Linked DNA regions of Drosophila melanogaster. The protein of the gene in region 1 interacts with the protein of each later gene in a pairwise test. Each region holds a gene or a part of one and is shown on either strand. Other genes may lie near its edges.

Evidence for each region.
Region 2: the proteins of OtopLb (region 1) and Prat2 interact in a two-hybrid assay, tested with the Drosophila melanogaster proteins (one large-scale study listed by BioGRID).

Annotation. Positions count from the first base shown.
Region 1 is NT_033779.5:3,274,417-3,282,078, forward strand, and holds OtopLb (Otopetrin-like b), read right to left. Parts: upstream 5,055-7,662; 5' UTR 4,948-5,054; coding exon 4,838-4,947; intron 4,191-4,837; coding exon 3,741-4,190; intron 3,566-3,740; coding exon 3,413-3,565; intron 3,345-3,412; coding exon 3,127-3,344; intron 3,062-3,126; coding exon 2,117-3,061; intron 2,057-2,116; coding exon 1,539-2,056; 3' UTR 1,384-1,538; downstream 1-1,383.
Region 2 is NT_037436.4:6,910,260-6,917,556, reverse strand, and holds Prat2 (phosphoribosylamidotransferase 2), read left to right. Parts: upstream 1-2,680; 5' UTR 2,681-2,867; coding exon 2,868-2,916; intron 2,917-2,976; coding exon 2,977-3,143; intron 3,144-3,592; exon of another isoform or gene 3,593-3,800; intron 3,801-4,029; coding exon 4,030-5,457; 3' UTR 5,458-5,558; downstream 5,559-7,297.

The sequences.
Region 1 (7,662 bases):
GTCTTGAACTTGATCTAGAGTCGGTAGCCTGTGGAGTTATTTACACTCTAGATTAAATTATAATGCAGAATGTTGTGCCGTTTCAATTCGCTTCACAGTACTCTAATTAGTTTCCTCAGTTCACCTTTTGCTCGTTTTATACTCTTTTGCCTGTGATTATCACGTGTCTGCTGAAAGTTACGAATGGGTTCTAATTAAGGGGTATTTAAACGACTTCTGGATTTAAAATTGATGCAAATACACATATCCGACCATTGTTTAGTGAAATCTTAAAATAAACATCTTTAAAGTACCACGCCATTGAAATGGAGAATTATTAAAATTTATTTATTTTTCAGTTGCTGGCTTCTCATCGATTCTCTTATTTACTCGATAATTGCATCTTTAATACGCGTAAGTCACGTGTGAAACATGTGAGTTTCGTCCTGTGTTTGAGTTGCCATTAAGTTTCTCAGCACGTGACCGGAATTTTATTAAAAACACAAATTTGCCTTCTGTTTCTTCTCATTTTATTGTTAATTATGAAGTATAATGGCGGGTCAGAGTATCGGTAGCTTAAAGTCTACTAAATAAATTGATTGTTTGGCTTTGGACTTTCTGTTGATATTCCAATCACGTGTTCAGCGGAAGGACGTGATAAAGGCATATATCACTCGATTTGTTAACCCCGAATTGCCCGTTTATTATCGCTGTGTAAGCCACCTGAATAGCAATTTTTCCGATTTCCACATAAATACATAATTTAAATGCGCCAATTCATCAGCTTCATGGTTCGATACCTTTTTATTTACCTTAATGTTTCCGCTCGAAGGTCCTTTGCCTAAAATAACCCGCACACATCAATGTCAGTTCCAGTATTCTGGGCGTATCAAATGTATGCCCATGACATTGTCCCATTTCACCGCCCCGCCCCCATTCACATCCTTTCAATAGTCTACCTTTTTTGACATTTTTCCTGGCGGTGCACACGCAACAGGAAAAGGAAATGCCGATTTGTCAATTGTGTGGGCCAAGATTTATATTCGCTACGATAAACTTGAAACACGAATACCTGATTTCGCTTTTGGTGCACACGATTTCTTCCGAGGTGTTCATGGATAAAGGTAATTCGTTAGGGAATCAATTGAATAATCGGAACAGCGATTTATTTTCTTATCTGGCTACAAATTTAATGAGCTATAACTATAATTTCACTTTCAGTTGATTAAAATGTGTTGGCAATTTGAAGTGTCAACTGAAATTGGGCAATCGCAACATTTAATCTGTTGACACCTTAGTTGATAACTAGAAAGTAAACAATATCACGTAATATTAGCGTGATTATATATGCGTTAAAGTCTTCAAATAAATAGATATAAATTAAAACTTTTAACAAACCATCTTGCTGAATAAATTAAATCTTTATTTTGTGCTAGCATTGTCAACAAATTTCGCACATATGCATAAATTAACTAATGTTCACAATTAGTCGACTAAGTTTTAAACTAACTTATTCAAATGTAAGCTGTAAAAACTAATCAACAGTTTCGATTAGGCCACTAATGCGCCTTGGCCTTGTACGTGATTTTCCACACCTCGAAGAGGCAAATGGTCGAATGGAAGCGGTAGAAAATGGCCAGCGGCATGGAGATGTGGGTGATGATCGTCCAGCCCCAGACTCCAAAGAACTCCAAATGGCTCTCCCTGAAGACGGCTCGTCCCTTGATCAGGGTGTTTACGAACCAGATGGCAATGTTGGCCACCAGCAAGAACGTGATGATCTCCCTGCCGGGCTTCCTTCTCACCTGATTGGTGCCCCTGCAGCGCCGATGGCTGGAATGCAGGATGAACATGGTCTGCAGCGAGGTCTGCACCACTCCAAAGACCTCCGCTATAATGCCCTCCACCCGGTCGGGCACTGTGTCCCATTTGGCGAAGTAACTGCCCAGGATGCTGAACATTCCGTACAGGTACACCCCGGTCTGGGCCACAATCAGCAGGAGATTGTCCAGATCCATCGAGTGGTGCTCGTCGCTGGTGTTCTTAATGTAGCGCAGATCGCGCATGAGGATCATGCCTAAAAAAAGATAAATATCGATGTAGGTGGGTCCACACAACAACTTGTATATTCACTCACCCGTTATCACAGCCGCTGCGCACATAAAGTACATGAAGGTCTCCCACAGAGTGACCTCCTGTGTGGCCACCAGTTCATAGCCCGGCTGGGTGTACAGCACAAAGTACATGATCATCGAGATAATGGTCATGACTATGATCAGGATCCCGAAGAAGAGTCCCTTGTGCGACTGGGAACAGTCCACGGAGAAGTGATGGGCAGGCTTGGCAGCAGCGGGCTTGACGGAATTCTTGCGCGTCTTGTCGATGTCCGGAATCGATTTGACCGTCTTCCACATCTCGAAGAGGATTACGGCGCATATGAGGGAGTACTCGATGGTGCAGGGGAACAGGAATGGCGAAAGTTGCTGCACCAGAGCACCCATAATCGTGGTGCGGGAGCAGCCGCTGAAGGCAGCCGGCGTGGGCGACGGAGTAATGGTCATATTCACAATCACAGAACTCACATTGGCCACCAGGGTGTTATTAAGGGCATGATGATGATGATGCTGATGCAGGGACTCATTGACAGCGGCCCAGTCCGTTCTACTCATGGAGCTATTATGAATGACCAGGTCGTGGGCGGGATCCACTTCGTGCTGGCTGATGTGGAAAATTTCGTGCTTGGTCTCCTCCACCAGGACGTACAGCCACTCACACAAGTTGGTGGCCACCATGTGCATGAGTCCGAAGCGGGAGGTCACCTTGTGCCGGGCCATGTCCATGTAGGTGGTGTTCAAGAAGATGAACTGCACCTGGGCGATGCACAGGACCATCCGGCAGATGGGTGTAATGGCCACGAAGACATCCCGGCATCCGGGATGGCCATTCAGCTCGAAGAACTGGCCAAACTCCAGGCCCGAATACACCATAGTTCCAATGGCGAAGGCGATGGCTCCCACTCTCAAGTAAAAGCTGCCAAAATGGGTTACCTTGTGCTTCAGATGCACATTGCTGTTCTTTTCGTCTGCAAATGTAGAACAATCGTATTTGTATTGACCAAATTATAACAAGAAATCCCCTATAGCTTACGATAGTCCTTTAAGGCATTGAAGAGCGATCGATTACGGAAGGCACTAATGTACAGAAAGATCACAAAGAGTATGCTGCCCACATAGAGGTATACGTAGAATCCCTGGTACACATAGGTCGGTATCTGATCGGATATAACTTCCGTGATCGGCAGACAAACGCCTAGCAGTACCAACAGTTTGCAATAGGTTGCCGACAGTGCTGAACTTATGGCATCGCTGAGATACAAGAGATACATTTACGAGATTAGTTACCAGATCATAAAGTTTTAGTTTCCACAACTTACTTGCCAGTGCGTCGGTTCTTATCCTTTTGTTGCTTGGCCTGAAAGCTCTTGGCCCCATTGTCGAAAAAGGCCGTGGATCCATTCCTGGCACTGGTGGCTCCACTCTGGAAATTTATGGTCGCTGTGCTGCCGCTCGCTGTTCCCTGCAGGTTACTGAAAAACACAAGAGGTTATATGTACTATAAGAAATAGAAGGTCTAGAAATACGTAATGTGTTAATAAGCCAATTTGGGAAGTATAAGAATAAAAACATATAATATTGGTTAGTTTCTAATGCGATTTGAATGCTGTTCGATGACTTTGTTATGTTAGGGAACCATAAATGTACCCATTTTTGGCAGTCCTCGGCGACAGGAAACCGTTGCCGTCCCTGCGCCCAAAGAGCGGCGGTCGCTGGGTGAGGATCTCTTGGAGGAGCAGCGATGGCCTGCGTGACACCTGCAAGGTGCAGGCGGAGTCTTCGTGGTGCATCCCGACGGTGGGAAGCGGGAGGAGGGCCTGCCGCTGGCTGCCGTGCTCCACGAGATCCAGGTTGGTCTGGGACTTGGCCAGCGGGGAGATGGGATGCGGCGACATGACCGGAATGCTGTGGTGTCCGCAGTGATCACAGGACGTTCGGGCGTAACGGATCACTTGATTCGAGGTGGCGGCCACAGAGTGACGAGGTGTACCAGGTACCGAGGTGGGCAGCGAGCTTGGCGGGGATCTCGAGAACGAACCCGACTTCTTTGGCGCACTTATGGTTATGTATTCGCAGGCATCGGAGGATCTGTGGCTGCTGTTTGAGGAGCGAAATAAGGATATGGGATATCTAATTTTCCGACCAGTGGCACATATACACGCAACCCGACAGGTTCAATGCTTTCCGATGAACTGAATTTTCTATTCCGACTTTGGATTCTTGTGCCTGGTATTATCAATATGTGGATTCAACCTGACCCTGAGGGAATCGCACACATTTTCATGTATTTCGCAGCTTTGATTGGTTTTTGATCGATTTCTGCACGTCCATTGAGATATTATCACTCAGCTGGCTAAGAAACCACGCGTGTTCTTTCGGAAATACCTCTAATTTGTATATAAGTGGACAGATAAAAGGGGGTATGTTGTCCCATCAATCAAGGGGTAGATAAGTTCTTGGTGTTTACATAAACATTAAGTGATCACGTTTTCCTTTTGTTGCCTGCAATCAGTGTCTGGAATTTGAGCCAGGGCTTTCACACGAAAAAGAGCTAATGTCATAGAACGACATCTATAGGGGTTTGACGAACCACTGTGATAAGATATAGTACTCCAAAATATTTAGAATGGAAAAGTCTACTGTCTGCTAGTCTGGTACAAATAGCTTTATCTTGAGATCTTCTATAGCCAAAACTCGCTGTGTATATGTGCCACCCCAGTTGAGAATTTGAATGCGAAACTAACTCATTTCCCTTCGATATCACATCGTGGTGGTAATGGACGCGCTGTTTGGTCCTCCACAGATTAATGGGTTCATCGTACATGTCTTTGGATTTCAAGTTAATTAGCGACATTTCCGGGCCGAGTCGCAATTTAATTTATGAAATCAAACGGATCGCGATCACCGATCTCCAAGACGCGATTTTCCGCGCCCTTACAGACTCGTGTCAGTGGGAAGACTGAGACTTTCTGAAGCAGTTACTCCAATTGTCGGAGCTATCGGGCAGACGATATTTGACTAACTGATTAGCGTTATTATTAGCCTGCTATTTTTACCGTACAGGTATGAGTGTGATCCGTGTGTGTAAATACATCTATTGCAGTCCTATTATTGCTCTAATTTATTAGCCTATTGGCACTTCATCAGTCGGACCTGAATCATGTACCCGCATGTTGTACATAGTACTGGATTTTTGAATTTGTTTTGAAATCTGTAATTATACGACGGCAATATGACGTCATCACAACAAGCTCGTCAATGTTGTTAATTATCGTATATATAGAGTTGTAAAAAGCTCTGCCTTCTCATAGCAGAATTCGTCGGTTATCTCGGCCACTTTAGCATTTAGCAGTCTGACTCTCAGTGCTCTTGGCTTGTTTACTGGATCAGATCAGTTTGGCGATCTCCAGAAACGCTAATGTTTACCCACATGATTCACTTTTTAGGCTTCCTAATTTTTTTCATTGTACTATGTGACGTTGTAGGTGAATTTATTTGGGTAAATAAAAAGTAAAAACCTGTAGGTTGACAAATCAGCTTCAGAGAAAGTTACGTGACAAGTGTTAAAAAGTTGGTCAAAATATTATGAAAGACCTAACACATCTACGAAGCGTCTGAAATCGAAATGGCAAGTCGAGTTTAGGTGTAAATATTACGCCATATTTATTTAGCAAAATATATAACGAAAATTCACAGGTTTAAGTATCTCGATTAGAGTTCATTTTATTAATAGTACATGATCATATTAACCAGGGAAGTTCTTTATAGGAATATTCTGATTCTATTTGGTAACTTTACCTGAAAGTAACAGTCGGCATTCTTTCGTATTGAACTCCACTGTTGCGGTCCACCATTAATGTGTTATCAGAATAGGTAAATTTTAAAATTTTTTCAAAGACAACTTCACATAAGAACTTTTATTCCGCTGCTAATTTAATACGAAGGTTCATGGTGCTGTAATAAAATCCACCGCTAGTAAAGTTGTGCAGATGGCAGCAAAGTTCTGGGAAAACTGAAACCAAACCCAGACATCGATACTTATCTTCGGGGTCTTCCTCATGCTTTTGATACCAACATACAGATACAGATAGCCAACGCCCCGGGCACACGTAAATTTGTGGTTAGTTAATACCCAGATACTAGCAGAGATTCCATGCCCGAAAACCAAGACAGTAGCAAGTATCTTATCTCTCTAAGGGTCATCATTCCGACCCTGAGTAAGCACTCCTACCAAATGGGCAAAACAGTGTTTATTGGCACTATCAGTTGCCTTAAAATCAGTGCAGCCATATCAGACGCCTCTCTGTTTACGTTTGTAATCAATAACTTCTGTCAATATTTGCCAAGACACATACACTCTTGTTTTATCGATTTTACCATATAATTTCCCAGCCCACTCTTTGAACTTTACGATAAGAAAAATAGACCAAGGAAGACGGCCAAGTTCGCCATTATTAAAATAAAATGGCATGTAATTTGCAGATAATTTCAAACGCGTCAGGTGGTTATTTTTGGGCTACTTACTTTTGAGTAGGAAATGCGTAACTATTTGGATCCCTCAATGTTTATGAATCATTACTTAAAAAGACTTTTCTAAAGAAAAATGTATATGTTTGTCTCCTTAATAAAATTTATGACTGCCGAAAGTGAACAATTCATTCGCATTTATTGAACCACCACAACAATGTGGGAAGCCAACTGCCGTCAAACCAAAGCACTTGAGCAAATTTGCGAGGTCATGGCCATAAATATGTAGTTCCCAGAGCAGATGCTCCACCAACAGACTAAGGGCTCCTCCAGCTGGCCCCAATTTCGATCTGTGTATAATTTGTGCTACAAACTTTGTCATGTGAGCTGATGCAGTTAGTGAAGCTTCCACTAGCCCAGATGCAGTCCTCGCTCCAAGGAGTATGGGTTAGTTACGCTCGCAGGAGCAGGACCAGTACCCAAACCAGGACCACAGCCAGAATTTGCACCATGAGAGGAAGTTTACAAGCACTTGGGAAAAAGTTGTTCTAAACATCAAACATTTGAATGGTAAAATATGAAGGAATTGGAGATTTTCAATATAATTTTATTAAGCAGATCGCTTAAGACAGCCTTTAATGGTAAAATTGATACATCATTACTTTTATTCATTTCTTGGTAGTCTTTACTTAGAATACCTTATTTTCAGTGCAGGAGCGTAGACCACCAGCTGATAAATTTTCAAATTTGCATGCTAATGAATGGCCTGTCATGGCACTGTTGCTGCAAAGTTTTTAACTTGTGCCTGCGTTCGCCTGGTGAAAATATGCAGAGGGAGATTTATCTGGACGCCCAGTGGTGGTGCCCACTAGGTAAACTGAGGTAACCAAAACAGTTTGGGCCAACGCCATTAATTGCATGTCGAACTTTGAGTGGCTTCCGTCATTAAAGACGGGGTTACAATAGCCAGAACTGGGATGGAGAAATACATTTCGTGGCAGCAAATTGAAATCATGTTTATCTTTTGTTTTTGGTAAGTGGTGCTTCCAGTGATGGTGAAACTTTCTGCCAACCGAGCGAATATTTTGCTGCCTGGCCTAAT
Region 2 (7,297 bases), on another chromosome or scaffold:
GATATGTGGCCATGGGGTCCGGGGCCATTTGATGATTTTTGCGTCACCGTTGGTCAAAATCATTTCGAGCGCAAGCAACTGGAAACTGTATAAAAATAATGAAAAAGGAGGGCAGGGGAACGCAGCGTGGCAACGAAAGCAACTTGAAATAAATGGTCAAAAGAAATAAACAGTCCCATAAAGAATAATCATTCAGAATTCTGCTGAATTATGCATGAGGCAGACGGTCCGTGGTTCATGGTCCACAATCCATGGTCCATCGTCCAGGAGCTGCAAACTGGACGCCACTCCACGAGGCGAAGGAGCAGCAGTCCAAGGAGCAGCAGGGGGTGTGGCACTCACATATGCGAAAAGTCCCTCCTGGAAACGCGAACCCAACCCAACCCAAGCCAACCCAACCCACTTGCTGAAGCATCATTTTCCTCTTTATTATCTGTTTGCTTAGCTGTGAGTGTGTGCTGGATTTTTATCAGACTTCTAAGCAGTTAGCTGCCTACACAGTAAGAATTAAAAGCCTAAAACATAAGTTAGAAATTAAAAACAAAATTTTAAACTTAAAATAGGGCTGTAATACTACTAATAAGAAAATATACAAATACACAAACTCTTCTCTGAAATTATAAGCCTTATTTTTATAAATTTCTTTATTTATTATTAATTATTATTATTTTTTTTTTTGTTTTATTTATAGGGAAATAACTATTGACTATTTCTTAAGCAACCATTTCTGTCAGTGCATTAGCCGGCTTCCACTTCTATTTTTCCGGTAAGGTGGAGCTTTGGAGGAGGTTTCCCGCGGAGCAATTCGGCCTGCTCGGTGGCGCTTGGCCAAAAGTCAACCAACATTCGCATAATTTTCGATAAAGCTTTTCGCCAAATGAAATTCAAGTGGTTACACATGTCTCACTGCCACCCAACCCAAACCCAAACCCATCGCAGCGATTTTCGCTTGGTCATTTTTCTTGGACACCCCTCCCCAAACAGCATATAGTATTTCGGTTCTTCCAAAAAGTCAGGCTCATTTCCACATTATATGCCGCATCTGATTATCTGCGCTTTGCTGTTTGTTTGCTTAGTTTTTGTTTATTTCGTTTGTTTGCTTGATTGTTTGTTGTTTTGGCCGAAAAATGCTGATAATAAAAGGTAATGATGGGGGGCTACCTATATATGGGTTATCTCTTTGTTAAAGGGCGACTATGAATCGACGGATTTGGAAATGGAAACTTTAAGTTTTGATAGAGCAATTGTCATGGGGATGCTAATGGAGATTGCGAAGGGATTACGCGTATTTTGATTAGGAAAGTGGCAATAATTGTTGGTTGGAAGAATGGCATACTCTTTTATTTACTATTTGCCAATTTGGAGTATAATGATTATAGTAAATAGACAAATTATTCAAACACAAAGCGATAGTACTTTCATTCAAAGTAGCTTATCCAGATATTGGAATAGTTATTTCAAATAAATTTTTGAATTTTTAATTCAACACAACTCTATTATATTTTTTGTTTATTTAAACAACTTATTCTAGCGATTAAAAATGTCCCGTTCTCGCCGACCTTATACAACACGTTCATAAATACGGCGGTGTTTTGTCTGGACCCCTCAGTTCTGCTTAGCACCTATTCGAAGTGAATCGGTTTTGTTGGGGAGGGCGAGAGACCCACTTTAACAGGTAGACAACACGACTTAACCACAGCAGGCTTATGCCTGCGGTCGCTTCGATTGCATCAGATGAGGTGCGAATCCCAATCGGAAGCTAAATTAGTGCTAAAAAAAAAATAATAATTAAATTGAAAATCAGTTGATCAGCGATCACATGGCTTTGGGTTTTCTAGCCTATAAACAAGTGGCCTGCATGTAATATATATCAACTGGTGGCTATAATTAGCACAAGTGATTAGTTGGCGACTGAAGTTGAATTTGTTTATTGTTTACGATCCCTCATTTAATCGTGCGATCGAGAGCGGATCGATCAACCCTCGCCGATTGTGCTCTACTGGGGGGCTTGGAATTTAGCGTACATTCGCGATAGCACAGCCCATTTAAGCTGCAAAAGGAAAACATAATTTAATCTGTTATTGTTTACGCCGAAATGGAAAACACTTCTAAAATGCGTCATTGAACGCATTTTCCCGATAAGCAACAAAGTGTCAACATGAAAGTTGGATGGATTATGTAAAAGCTTAGGCAAGACAAGAAGATTTTTCGCTGACTCTGTCTCCAAGGGGGGCCCTTAAATATAAATTATTAAACTTTGAACTTGAAATGCATGTGCTAGCGCATCGAGCTGATAAGGAAATCGATGTCGGACTCGTTTAAAAAGGCGCATATGATTTGCTGATTTGAGATCAATGCCAAAGTGAGATGCGTGATTTTGAAGACTAGACAGACATAATGCGGTCATTGAATCGGAATGATGTTGATCAAAGCCAAAACGTGAGAAAGGAATCACAGTGTTTATTTTTGGTATAACTGGCATAAATCGGCGGCGGTATCAAATTTTGTGCCCGACATGCGTTTCTCGATGCGGTTGTGGAACCACCGGAATCTTCCCGATCCCGCTCCGCCCGCCGAGATTGCATTCCCAGCTCAACTGATAACCACGACGAGTATATCAGCTACCAGCCATATATGTACGATGATCGGAGGTTTAATTAGGCGCGGCTGTAACATGAACATTCATAATTCCGCTGGCATTCAATCAATGCAGACGTGAACAATTCCAGTAGTGACCGAGTGTTCGACTTAGCCAGCGATCTCGTGCAAAGTGTACAGTGTCTCAATCGTAGTCAATACCAATTCTCAACCAAGAAAATCGATACTCAAAACATACGTAGAAATAGAAGTTACTAAAATCCAAGCATATGATGGCGCAAAGTGATTCTGGAAATTGCTGTGCCAAGCTTAATAAAGGTAAGAATTCATAAATATTTAATAGTGATTGTGCACAGTTAAATCTGCAATCTGCAACAGATGAGTGCTGCCAGAAGACAAAGGATGTGATCTTGAGCGGCGTATCTCCCAAAATGTTTCCCGACAAAATCTACAAGTCTGTTCAACCCAAAGGAGAGGATGCCACCGGAATGACCTGCGAATGCGGTGTTTTTGCAGCCATCGCTTGCGGGGATTACCCAACACAAGTAAGAACAAAATATTTTTTTTTTTAATGTAATATGTAATATAGGACAGATAGGACATATAGTATAGAAAAACACAAAGGTAAAAATTTGGGTTTAAGAAAAAATGTTTAAAGCAAAATTAAACTTAAATATAATACTTGGAAAATTCCGGAAAAATATGTGTAGCAGATTACAATCAATTGTTAATATATAATAAATATTACTAGGACATAGTAGATAGCCACCATGAAATGCCGATCATAACTATATCAATATCTCGAAGTCATTGGGGCTGTCACAAGCCCATCATCACCCGTTTAGCAAGATCCTATGGACGACCATGTAGTACGTCAGACGTATGCCAATCAATGGTTAGTGGGTCAATGGTTAGCCCCGTTCAGATACACCCCCTGCTGATCTTCTAACGATGTCCATCTATCTGTGGCCAATGCCCAGTGGCTGCGGTGACGTCAGTGAGATCGAACTGAATCGCATGGATTTGGTTTGCCGTGCGGTTGTAATCTCTGTTGTTCATGTTTTTATTGCTCGACTGTAATGAAATGGAAAATAACAGAAAGTACTGGTGTATTCACGGTCGGAAATCGGCATACAGTTATCTGTTTTGCTAGTCAACTGATTGGAATTAGCATTACTAAACTATCTTATATGTTGGGCTAGGTATGCAGAAAAAAAAGTATTAAGTTGCTTTGATCTGATGTGATTTGATTCAAGAAAATGCTGAATAACTAAGCTTAAAATAACAATTCTTAATACTGAGTTTGGAAAATGATACGCCATATCGATGCACAGCACCCCCTGGTCTTTATTATTCAATATTCACGTTTATTATTATATTGTAAAAAAAATAAGGAAAATAAAGTACTAAATGGGATTTTTCTGCTTTCAGCTGGACATAGCACAGATGATCTGCCTCGGTCTGGTGGCTCTGCAGCATCGTGGCCAGGAGTCGGCGGGAATAGTGACCAGTTTGGGCAAGTCCTCCAAGAATTTCAGCGTACACAAGGGCATGGGCATGATCAACAATCTGTTCAATGACGAGGCGATCAGGAAGTTAAAGGGTAACCTGGGAATAGGACACACCCGGTATTCCACGGCCGCAGCCTCGGAAGTTGTGAACTGCCAGCCGTTTGTGGTGCACACTGCCCATGGAGCACTGGCCATTGCCCACAATGGTGAGCTAGTGAACTGCGAGTCCCTGAGGAGGGAGGTCCTGGAGCGAGGAGTGGGCCTGTCTACGCACAGTGACAGTGAACTTATTGCCCAATCCCTGTGCTGTGCACCAGAGGATGTGTCGGAGCACGATGGACCCAATTGGCCGGCCAGAATTCGCCATTTCATGACCCTGGCTCCACTCTCCTACTCCCTGGTCGTGATGCACAAGGATAAGATCTACGCTGTCCGCGATTCCTATGGCAATAGACCGCTGTGCTTGGGAAAAATCGTGCCCGTTGATGCAGGACATGCGAATATCAATGACCAACTGGCCGAGGGTTGGGTGGTCAGTAGTGAAAGCTGCGGATTCCTCTCCATCGGAGCCAGATATGTTCGCGAGGTGGAGCCCGGTGAGATCATCGAGCTGTCACGAAATGGTTATAGAACCGTGGATATCGTTGAAAGACCGGACTATAAGCGCATGGCATTCTGCATCTTTGAGTACGTCTACTTTGCCCGCAGTGATTCCATGTTCGAGGGTCAGATGGTTTACTCAGCCCGCCTGCAATGTGGTCGCCAGTTGGCCAGGGAATCGCCATTAGATGCGGATTTGGTCAGCTCGGTTCCGGAATCGGGCACAGCAGCTGCCCATGGTTATGCCAGGGAGTCGGGACTGCCATTCGGGGAAGTTCTCTGCAAGAATCGCTATGTGGGCCGCACGTTCATCCAACCCTCGACGAGATTGCGACAGTTGGGCGTGGCCAAAAAGTTTGGTGCCCTGGCTCAAAATGTCGAGGGCAAGCGGATCGTGCTAGTCGATGACTCCATAGTGAGGGGAAATACCATTGGACCGATTATCAAACTCCTGCGAGATGCCGGCGCCACCGAGGTGCACATTCGCATTGCCAGTCCTCCGCTGCAATATCCCTGCTACATGGGTATCAATATACCCACTCGTGAGGAGCTAATAGCCAACAAATTGAATGCGGATCAGCTGGCGGATCACGTGGGTGCGGATAGTCTGGCCTATTTGAGTGTGGAGGGTCTGGTCAAGGCCGTCCAGATGAACAAGGCCCATGTGAATCCACTCAAAGCTGGCTACTGCACCGCTTGCCTAACGGGCGAGTATCCTGGCGGATTGCCGGAGGAGCTCAGCTGGTAGAATCTCTCAGCAATTATTAATTTCATAGGATTAAGGTAGTTCTTAGCTTCAGCTTGTATATAAATAAATATATTTAAAATTTCGGGTCTTTGACCTATCACAAAAAATGTTGTTTTTAATTAAGCAATATAGAGGTTTTTGTTTCGAGATAAGGAATAATAAGTAGGACATATATTTGAACGCTTCAAACATTCTGGAAAATAACAAACACAAGCAGTTACATATATTATATATAAAATACATATATATATTAAAATATCTTAAAGAAGACATAATTTTAACATTTTTTTGTTACCACCTTTAACTTATTTACTAGTTATAACCATTTAAAATTTTTTTATTTATTTCCTCACTTTATTTGACTTTCTCGCAGGCAAGGAACACATACTCTAAATGCTAATGGGCCACATCAACGTCTGATTATTTTCAAAACTGTCTAATGCCATAACTTCAATTCATTTCAATTTATATTTCCAAGCTCTGTGTGCCGAGGGATTCAGGGGCAGTGGAGGAAGTAGAGTCGCCCGCTTCCGGTTATAGCCGCGCTCAGATATAGCCCCATATCATACAATATGGTAATCGTGTTTGCTTTTTTCGCCCCGTCTCTTTCCGGCTATGTCCTGCCGCCCACCCACATCCTTGTGTTCCGCTCTCTTTCTTGCGGAGTCTCCCCAGTTGGGGCGTTGCAATGTCTAAAGCGGGGCGTTAAGGGCGTTTAATCCTGCGGAAGATGTCCTTGCGGTTATGCAGAGGGGTATCCGTATCCTCTCTCATCGTATACAACTTTTTTCTTTCTTTCTTTCTTTTATGACTCGCGCCGGGTACTGGAGTCAACAATGTCATCATTATTCTTGAATATTGTGTTGTATTTTCGCAAACAATTTCGCTAAGCTGCGCGGCATTGGCAAAGCCGGAATGGGGGTGGGGGTGAAAAATTTGGGGGTGGGAATGGGTCTGGGTGGGAAAGTGGGAGTGGGTTTCCCTACGCTGAAGTGTGGCGAGGACATAAGAGAAGAAAATAATACTGCACTGTCATTGTAACTCGCTTGATTAATTCTTGTGAAGGGTATATACTGCAAGCAGTTCAGGTTTTGGCAAATGAAATGTAACAACATTTATATTTATTTAAAAAACAAAGACAATGAAATGTTATAAAAACATTTAAATTCTTCATGAAAACATAATTTATTTCACACACTAATAAAGTAAATTATTAATTTTTTTTAAGAAGTTAAAAGTTATATAAGATATGAAAAAAATCAAAGTCGCTTTATAATTTCAAAATTTTCCAAAAGCTGTAGAGGAATTTCTGGGTCCTGTCAGCTTCCCTTTTACGGCGGATCCCCATCACCACTCCATCTGAGTTCTCACCAAGTGGCTACATAAAAGAAACGACTCCTGGCAACATTGAAAACAGACGCTGGCACTTCTATCCAACACACCAGCGTCGTTTGCTGCCACAAGGATACGACAGAAGGACCAAGATATCCACGGAAAAAAAATGGCATAGAGAGGCGAGAGCGTTTGCTTATGTGCGCCGTCGATCACAAACACAAACATCCTGTGCCCACTGCCGCAGACAGTGACAACTAAGCAGTGCCATATTGCCAGGAGCCCAGATGAAGAACCCCCATTGGAAAATCCGCCCTGGAAAGGCCCCACCTCTGCGCCGCAAAACATGCTTTAAATTTTTTAATAACGCCAGGCTACAAGAGCGCTGACGCCCACGTCCGGACTTGGGATCCGGATCCGGTTTTCGTGCCCGATGACGACAGCCGGCCCCGCCCACTTCGGCCTGCCCGCCCACCGTCGTCATTTGCACAGAAGTTATGTAAATTAA